2 linked regions of the Schizosaccharomyces pombe genome follow. The protein of the gene in region 1 interacts with the protein of each later gene in a biochemical or structural test. Each region holds a gene or a part of one and is shown on either strand. Other genes may lie near its edges.

Region 1 (4,843 bases):
TTATTCCCTCCATTTGCTGACTCAGGAGGATTGGCCAACTTTAGAACGCAGGTCTTAATGTCTTTGAGCAAGTCCATTTTAACCGAATCGGGAATACTTTCAGTTGCAGACTGCAAGGCGCTCTCATATAGCTTTTGAAAATCAATTTTAGAATCGGAATTCACAATTCCCCGAGTGTAGTCACGTAATTGAGTTGTCCAACCGCAGGATTCAAGTTTGTATTCTAATTCATTTGCTAGCCTACATTTTTTAAATTGTTGTTTAGTTATAAAATTTTTTTTTTAAAAAAGAAAGCCTATCTTTTATACCTTTCATAATCTCCAGTTTCATATAGCTGCTCAACAATTTTCTCAGTGGTCATCTTTGTTGAAAATATGAGGTCGTACATTGCTACGCAGAAATATACCATTGCAGATGCAAACGAAATATTTAAACCAGCATTGAAAAGTAACCTTTATAATTAAATCATTTTTTAATTTAGGAGTTGAAAAATAAAATATTTGGATTTCATTCTGAATACGATATCTCAGGTAAGTAGTCAATAATAGTACAATATTATTAAAAGTGTAGCTTCTCTATTTTTTACTATAAACAAAAAAACTGACTATCAGTAATGCATTTTTTGACAGTTAATAAACTACAAAAATTCTTTGGAAATAATAGCTTTATTAAAAGTGAAACTTGAGATCATTAAATTCATCGTCTTCGTCATTATTGGTTTTAGGAGATAGTTCTTTAAATGAATTACTCGATTTTTTAGAAATTGATGATTTGCCGCTTTTGTCAGACGATGCTCCGGCAGGAATACTTTCTACTTTTGACATGAGTCTTGGTACAGGCTCTAAATCTGTATCATCTTGGTCAAACACTTCTGTTTTCTTATGCTCAGATAAAGAGAGAAAAGCTTGTAAAGGTGCTTTTTGTGAAGCTTTCTGTATGAAAAAGATTAGTCGAAATTTTCTTTATTATACCACATACCTTTTGAAATTTTTTAAAATTTTTACGGCCCGAATAATATTTTGAAGTATGCCTACTGTTAGCATTCGATTTCTCGGATGACATAATTCGAATATATTCGACAGATCCAAGGTTTCGTAAACGACGATTTTCCTCAAATGCTTTATCATCTTCAGATTCTTGGACATTCTCTGAAGGTAAACTATCTACCTCCGCATTGGCCTTTTTCTCACCGACAACATTAAGTTCTAATGGTTTGAACGGAGAAGAATTTCCTTTATCCACTGAATTATAGGAAACATACTCAACCTTGGTCTTCCCCTGACCACTGCCTGTGTTTGCCGATTTTTTTGAACTGGATTTTAAACTGTTTTTAGTTTTTTCACTATTATCACCCGATTTTTTATTTTGAGCTGAACCATTGTTTGATTGATTGCTTAAATAACCCTCAGGTTCTTTTCCAAACATTTGTTTAGGTTGTACGAAATCCATAATTGAAAGGTTTTCTAGCGTTTTTACTCGCTTGCTTTTTGGCGAACAAGGCAATGGCTTTTTTACAGAAAATAAATCATCAACGATGTTCTTTTGGATATGGCGTTGGGGTTGAATAATTTTTTGGGGGGTTGAATTAGAAGCAGTAGCATACTTTAACCTCTCAATTTCTTTTGAGATTAGTTCCCTTGAATTCCTTTCAATGATTATCTTCCATAGCTGCTCAATAGTTAAACAAAAGATACCTTCTGGGAAAGAAATCTTCTCAGAGTCATATACTGCGTTGTTTAATACAACGAAATCCGTTTTTGAAATCAATTCCTTGTCTATATCCCCAAGACTCATAAAGGTCGATATCCTCAAACCCAATAACTCCAATAAGTGGTGGGACTCACTCGACGTATTTAACATGGCGCAACTGAATCCTTCTAATGAATTTATGCAGTCTTCAGGAGATGACGGGAATTGATCGTTGTTCTTTATGATATTTTTAAAACATTCAAGCGCATCTGGCATTAGGCTGGCGTCTTCAATTACGGATTCTTTAACAGTTGATAGGTACTGAAGATAGCTATCATCTATAATTACAGTTTTTTTAAGAAAAGCATACATAGTTCCAACAGTTATACTGGACCCAGCTTGTCTGTTCATAACAAAGTGGGTAGTAGCATCGCTATCGCGTAGTCCAGTCGGTATACCTGAAAGTTGATAAGAAGTGAAAAAAAAAAAGACCGAAGTACCTAAGAGGTTTAAATTTGAAGCCCACTGGGATAACATTTCAGGGTTATCGAATTGTATACACATACTTCTCCAGTATGCACTTAAAGTTAGTAAATCATATATAGTCGATAAAACTTACTTTATCGTGAATGGACATTTACCCAGTTGTATTTTAAGATCTTTTTCTTTGTAAGAATCACCATTTTGACCAACAACTTTTTCATTAACCTTGGTTCCAAACTTCGTATCGAGGTCCTTTACTTCAAACTCGCATGGGCCACCGGTAAACTGTGCACATATTAGCTGGCATTGATTTAAAATATAAGAAAGATAAACATATAATAGAAATGAAAAATGAAAAGCTCAATATTTCCATTTAATTGGATACGTACGTAGTCTTTCTCACTTGGGGTCAAAATCGTAAAACGAGCATGGCGTTTACTAATTGATTTAGAAATCACTTGAATGTGGGACGAATCGTCTGCAATATTAGAAAATTAACAAAAATAAGAAACTTACCAGATACATTTCGACCTACAATATAAGTTCCTGGAAATAGTATCCGTGATTTTCCTGCTGTTTAGTACGTACAATACGGCCATAATGAAATTGATATAGCTAGTAAGAGATACCTTTTAGAATGTCACCCTCAGCCTCAATTATCCACATTTTTTCAACATAAAATTCTTTTTATTGAAAAAATTCAGAAACCAGAATGCTGTTTTCACAACTGAGGATGCATAGGTGCGTCGCTTTTAATTTTAGTACAATTGAAAGTAACAAAGTAACCCTTTATGATGTCCAAAAGCCCTTCGTTAAATTAGAAGCTAAATCTACTAAACCAATTCTTGAATTTGAATTGACAAAGCTTGCTTTTCAAAGCTTTCTTCAAGAAAAAGTTTAATCAACAAAAACTCTTAAAAAATTTATAATTTCAAAAAATTAGACTTACACAGGTTCTCTGTCCTAGCCTTGCAAACACAAAAAATACTGTGAGTACACTAGAAAATGAATTTACTAAAGGGGTAAACTATCGTACCAAAATGAAATTTTTAAAGTCATGAGCTTATGTGAGCAAACAAACTTCAATTAAATACTATTTATCATACGTCGTGTATATGCACTACTGGATAACTTCTTTTACAGTTTAAAAAAGTCCATGCCTCTTTAAATAACTAACTTTATTTCTAGTTTTTACTACATTCCTTTATTTTTTAATCAATGAATTATCTATTACCTATCCTAATAAGCAGAAGTATGAGTTAGCTGTAGTGTTTCATTTTCGCTAATTGATATTAGCCAGGAATCTCTCATCCTCGCTAAACCTCCCTACAGCTTAATCTTCCTTAAACCATTACCATACGAATTTGCTGGTTTCATATTCGCCGTTTGCAATTTCTATGTTGGTTGCAAACTATTCTAGTGATTCAGAAGAACAGGAGAATTCCCAATCGCCTAACATCCAACCTCTTCTGCATACTGAAAATTTAGCGCCAGCTGTGGTTGATAACGTATTTATCAAATGTTTTTTATAACATGCTAATCATTTTAGGTAAAGGATGATTTAATTGTTTCAAAGGGAGGAAACTCTAGAGAATTAGCGCGTAATGTCCCGGTTAATGAAATGGTGCAGCCTGCTTTAGGGCCTGCAAATCCATTTGTCACTAAAGAACAGGATTCTATAAAGAACAGTATTACCGGTTATGCTGAGAGGGAATATGTTCCAAATTTTGTATTTAATCAAGAATATTATGCTAATACACATGCTATTTATGGAAAACGAAATTTTGATGATAACGAAGCTACTACTTCTACAGATTTAAAAAGGAAGTCCCAGAAAATAAAAGAACGTAGAGAGGATCCTGGCGATCCATCTATCCTTGAAGGGGATGGTGCTTATAAGGGGCCATGGGCCGGATACGGTTCTGAACAATCCTCTTCACCTTTGGAGTACAGTGAATATGAAGAGGTTGAATCCCTGGATGTCAAAAGTGAAAAGGATACGGAATCTAATAACCTGGGTCAAAATGAATTATTGAAGGAACAATTAGCTACTCCAGAAGTTGAAACTCATCGCTCTAAAGAAGAGACTATACTTCATAAAGATAGATTATTTGATTATCAAAATAGAAGCTATATGCATGTCCCGAATGACGTCGGAATAAATTTATCGGAAGAGCCTGGTGAACAAACTTGTTACATTCCAAAGAAGCATATATTCACTTGGAAAGGTCATACGAAAGGTATTTCCTGCCTTAGGTTTTTTCCGATTAGTGGCCATTTACTTCTTTCTGGCTCAATGGATAATCAGATAAAGGTATGTTTGTAAGCAAAAAGATGATAAACTAATATTTAGATTTGGGAAGTTTACCATGACCGTTCTTTGCTTCGTACATTCCAAGGACACGCTCGTCCTATCCGCGATTTATCATTTAGCCAAGATGGACGATCATTCTTAAGTACTAGTTTTGATAAAACAATTAAACTCTGGGATACCGAATTAGGGAAATGTTTGAACTGCTTTAATTCAGATAGATTAACAAACTGCGTCAAATTCCAAGTAGATCCTGATAAACCCAACGAGTTTTTAGCAGGAACAGCTGACAAAAGGATCCTTCAATTTGATATCAGAAGTCCTGATATTGTTCAAGCATACGATCATCATCTCGGCGGA
Region 2 (4,776 bases), on another chromosome or scaffold:
TATCACTTCAACTTGCGGTTTCCCATCCATTTTTTATTTATGAAAGGAAAAGATAAAACAACCCAGAATTCTGACTACTGCTATTACACCCAAAAAAAGGGTAATATGTAAGAAATATGGCAATAGGTTGAATTATGTGTTTACATACACACAGTACGTAGGCATTACTGTTTAGAGGCCAATTTAACAAAATACACCGATGCACTAAATAATTTAATGTAATTAAAGCTATCCTACAAGTATAAAGTTTTGTAAACAAATAACTAATAAACACTTGAAAAGAAACATTATGAAAACGGTATTAATGAAATCTTACTATAATTAATTTAATTTAATTTAGATTATCACTAACGAGCAATTTTCCAGAAAATAATATCCCCGGGTTCGACAGTATAATCTTTCCCTTTCGTTTTGCACTTTCCTACGCTTTTACAAGCATCTACTGATTTGTACTTTTCGAAATCAGAAAACTTTATAACTTCTCCTGCAACGAACTTCTTCTTGAAATCTGAATGTATTATACCGGCCGCGTCAGGCGCCTTAGAGCCGTCGGCAATAGTCCAAGCTTGAACGATTTTTTCACTAGCTGTGAAATAATGTATCAAATTAAGTGCAGAATATCCCGCACAAATAATTTCTGATAATTGAGAATTTTTGCCCAAACTAGCGCATTCCTGCGCCGCCTCTTCAGGCGTAAGCATGAATAGCTGTTCTTCAAACAGAACTGAGAGAGGTATCACTTGATCACCAAAACTATTTTTCTCAACCCATTCTTTGATTCCTTTTAATGCTTCTTGTTCATCGGAAAGATAATCGTCTTGATCCATATTTACCAGATACACCACCGGTTTGGCAGTGAGTAAGTTTAAAGAATTTAAAATGGGAATCTGCTCGTCATTCCATTCAGCTTTAGATATTTGACGGCCTTTTCCTAATACTACTTCTAATGCTCTTCGTGCCGTATCAAGAGCTTTTGCACATGTTTTGGGCGAGCGGCCCTCCTTTTTTAAATATGATTCTAAAAACTCTGCGTCTTTTAACAATAGCTCTTCCTGTATTATTTGTAGATCTCTTACTGGATCAACTGACTTTTCAACATGAGGAACTTGAGCCTCTGGAAATGCACGTACCAATTGAAACAAAGCATCGACGGATCTAATGTTTGAAAGAAACGCATTTCCAAGACCTTCTCCCTTGCTTGAATTCCTTGTCAACCCTGCAGTATCATAAATAGTTAATTGCGCTGGGATACGCGTTTTAGGCTGATAAATTTCACAAAGCAATTCATACTGTGAATCAAGTACAGGGGCTTTTGCATGAACGGGATCGATTGTAGCGAAAGGGTCTTATAAATTTGTTTTGTTAGACAACAGAAATACAAAATATTATATCACTTATAATCAAAACTAATACTTGACTAAAATATGACAACGTACAGTTAGCAGGATTTCCCAGGTTTGTCTTTGTAAGAATTTGACTATATTTATTGTTAATACCGATCAATGAAGCAAATTTATCAGTTAAACCCTTGAACAAACGTACAATAAGGTGGATTTCCCAATGTTGGGCATTCCTACAATGCCAATTTTCAAATGATTTCCAGGTCGTCCCAATCGTTGCCGAACAATAGAAATATCCTTTTGTTTTGAATAGTATCTCCTAGTACAATTTACAGAAGGTAGACACTTTTGCGTTGACAACACTATCCTTGTAACTATACCACGCATTTCTTAACCATTCGATGAATTAATCACAGAGTTGTTGCTAAGCTTTTTCACGCAGTAACCAAAACATTAATTGTTAATTCCTCCTTGAAATTTTTATACGATCAATAGCAGGATTTGTAAAATGGAGATACAGTTTGGAAATCAGAGGTGTAGGATGGTAAATTCTGGGGGTTTTCTAGCTACTGATGGTTCCCATCTGAAGGAAATGGAAACAGATGATGTTCTTGTTGAATTCTTAAATATAGAACATCAACTTTTTATTCGAAATATTCGAGCTATAGTTAAAATAGCCGATACAACGGTGCTTCCATCTGCTAGCGACAAAAAGCTTCTTTATTATGTTTTTGACGAAACGGTATTATCTTTTTTCTATTGATTAATTGAGTAAGCTAATTATATACTTTTTTAGAGAGTAAGAATCAACGATACTCCTGTAATTTTTTCAAAATTAGAGGAGGATAATGCAAACGTGAATGAAGGATCCAAAATGGGAGTTATGACTGTATGTGCATTCCCTCATTATACTATTGTCAAAAAGACACTAACCTATTTTCCAAGGTCCCTAATACCCCGCAGAAGCCAAATTTGCAGCAACAAAAATTTGAAGCGATCAATGCGAATGAAGATCAAATTGATTATTCAAGTAACTTGGAACAAAATTACAATTCTTTAATTAGGCAAGGATCTGACCAGGTCATTCCCCTTTCGCGATTCGCTTCAGAAAAAAGTGCTTTAGAATTGGAAAAGGAACTCTTTTCTGAGAGAATTCCAGAATCGCAATCTGCCGCTGAGCCTGTTCTTAAAGTTGAAAACTCTGAGAATGATTTGGACGAAAAATTGGTATTGGACGGTCAACATGTGGAAGGCGACCATAGTTCTGACACTGAAGAGGAGGTTGTTTCTGAAGATCAAAAACAGTTGAATAAGACCGACGATGAGTCAACATTTATTGAATCACACCAAATTTATATACAAGGAGAAACAAAATCTCCTTCTTCTGTCTCGCAATCATTGAGTGGAGACCCATCCTTGAAGCCAGCAGAGGTATTTGATAGAAAGCAAAGTGCTGAAATAAACTCACCAATTGAGAAGGATGTGAATCCACAGCAAAACATATCGGACAGCTCTATAAAGAACAATAGCATTCACAGTGATGAAGTAAATCCAGAGGTTAGGCCAGATTTAACCCCCTCCAACGAAAATGAAGAAAGTAAAAGAAGTGCGCCGGAAATCGCTCTCAAAGAGAAGGAATCCACATCCCAGGATGAAAGTAACAGAGAAGCAGAAGAGGCACCAATTTCCACTAATTATTCTTTCCCCTCATCATCTTTAGAGGATCAACCTGACAAGAATGTGCAGTCCTCGGCAGTTGAAAATAAAAACAAGCACACAAATCTGGTAACGTCGAGTTTCAACCTAACTAAACCGATGAAAAGTTTTATAAGGAGAAATGGTCTAAGGGTGCAAGAAAGTGTCACAGACGAAACCGACTTTGTCATCCTTGGTTCACCTCCACTTCGGAGGACACATAAGTTTTTACTGGCGACTTCTCTAGGTATACCACTTGTCTCTTCTCAATACTTGACAGACTGTATAAAATCAGGTAAAGTTTTAGATTTTCGTAGCTACAAATATAAAGACGAGGAAGCAGAAGCCAAGTGGGGATTTCGTTTGGACGATATCCACAGAAGAACGTGTTTCAATGGGAAAAGACTATACATTACAAAGGCAATTCGAGATTCGATGGTAGGGGATTCTATACACGGACTTTACTCAATTTTGGAAACATCTGGAGCTGAGGTAAGTGAAAGATGGAGAATATCTAGTTATGATAGGCTAATGATTTAAATAGATTGTTGGTGATATTAAAAGGGCTCAAGAGAAGGACACAATTATACTTGCTCAACCTGACAACGATCAAGAAGGACGGAATATGAGTGCTACTGGTTTAAATGTGTACAAGATTGAACTAGTAGCTTTATCCATCTTGCGTGATCGAATTGATTTTGATGAATTTTTGATTGACTATGATGCTGACAGTCCCACCAAAGTAATTGGAAAAAGAAATGTCTCAAAGGCATCCCGAACCGGGCAAGGAAGAAAACGATCCTCTCGTTCATCTTGGAACAAACCAAGTGCAAAGGAGCAAAGAACATAAAATTAAAGGTAAAGAGGACATCGTTTACTTTGTCTATTATTTATTTATAGAAGTATATTTGCAAACATATATTCTTGAGTTTCTTCTATGAAGGAGGACCATTAGAAATTATACAAAAATAGAATTTTAATAATGATATTAAATAAACGAGCGTATTTAAGGGCGAAGGATAAAAAACCTACACGGTTATTTAATGAAATATGCGATCTGTTAGTTGATTGTTAAAATCTTGAACCAATAAATTCAAGATACTCAACATAAATGAATCGATTTCAATACGCTTTTTTTTCTATTTTCCAGATAATGTATGAAAAAAAATAGTTTGACCAATTCCCGAAATTTATAATTATTACATCTCAATTAAAAAAACAAATAAAGAAATAAATAAAATGATATGAAATGAAGTACAAAAGGTTAATAAAAATAAATAACAAATTTCTACACGATTAAAAGATATAAAAGGTAAAAATCTTTATGAGTAGAAAAACGCATATACTTATTTGCGGTTTTAAGAGGAAGTAAAAGGAGGTAATTCCGAAACATAAAAATAAAGGGGCCTCATTATAGTGCTTCTTTTTAGTCTTGCAATTTTATTTTATTTTTTGAAAAGGTTTAGTTGTTTGTTTATTGACTACAAAACACAGCAAATCCACTCGTCATATCAGATCAAGCATACCGCATATCTAACAAATGATTCTGCAATGCATTGCACTTCACTGTATAAAATTTATTCATAAAATGCGCAATATGTATATCAGGCACTTATAGGTTTACCCAAATATGCTGTTAAATGGAATACACAGTTTTTTGCGCCATCTTACCATTTATAAAGCGTGAATTTAGAGACCCGCACATGCTTCCGCACACGGCCAAATGAGCGCTAAACCTCGG

What was found. The genes of interacting proteins can lie anywhere in the genome.
Region 2: the proteins of nbs1 (region 1) and mdb1 form a complex in vitro, tested with the Schizosaccharomyces pombe proteins (one study listed by BioGRID).

What each region holds. Positions count from the first base shown.
Region 1 is NC_003423.3:2,648,077-2,652,919, forward strand, and holds nbs1 (Mre11 complex BRCT domain subunit Nbs1), read right to left. Parts: upstream 2,902-4,843; 5' UTR 2,839-2,901; coding exon 2,802-2,838; intron 2,743-2,801; coding exon 2,689-2,742; exon of another isoform or gene 2,651-2,688; coding exon 2,562-2,650; exon of another isoform or gene 2,458-2,561; coding exon 2,309-2,457; exon of another isoform or gene 2,270-2,308; coding exon 2,190-2,269; exon of another isoform or gene 2,160-2,189; intron 2,148-2,159; coding exon 979-2,147; intron 933-978; coding exon 669-932; 3' UTR 501-668; downstream 1-500. Other genes in the region: SAGA complex deubiquitinating submodule subunit, TREX complex subunit Sus1, read right to left, coding at 1-240, 309-388; Prp19 complex WD repeat protein Prp17, read left to right, coding at 3,570-3,680, 3,722-4,486, 4,526-4,843. UniProt on the Schizosaccharomyces pombe protein: Component of the MRN complex, which plays a central role in double-strand break (DSB) repair, DNA recombination, maintenance of telomere integrity and meiosis.
Region 2 is NC_003424.3:2,882,293-2,887,068, reverse strand, and holds mdb1 (BRCT domain protein Mdb1), read left to right. Parts: upstream 1-1,727; 5' UTR 1,728-1,848; coding exon 1,849-2,082; exon of another isoform or gene 2,083-2,136; coding exon 2,137-2,229; exon of another isoform or gene 2,230-2,285; coding exon 2,286-3,527; intron 3,528-3,579; coding exon 3,580-3,885; 3' UTR 3,886-4,276; downstream 4,277-4,776. Other genes in the region: iph1 (metallopeptidase), read right to left, coding at 1-30; SPOM_SPACUNK4.13C (NTPase Ylf2), read right to left, coding at 348-1,345, 1,437-1,477, 1,543-1,727. UniProt on the Schizosaccharomyces pombe protein: Involved in DNA damage response (DDR) mediated through its interaction with phosphorylated H2A proteins hta1 and hta2 which mark the discrete foci of DNA damage.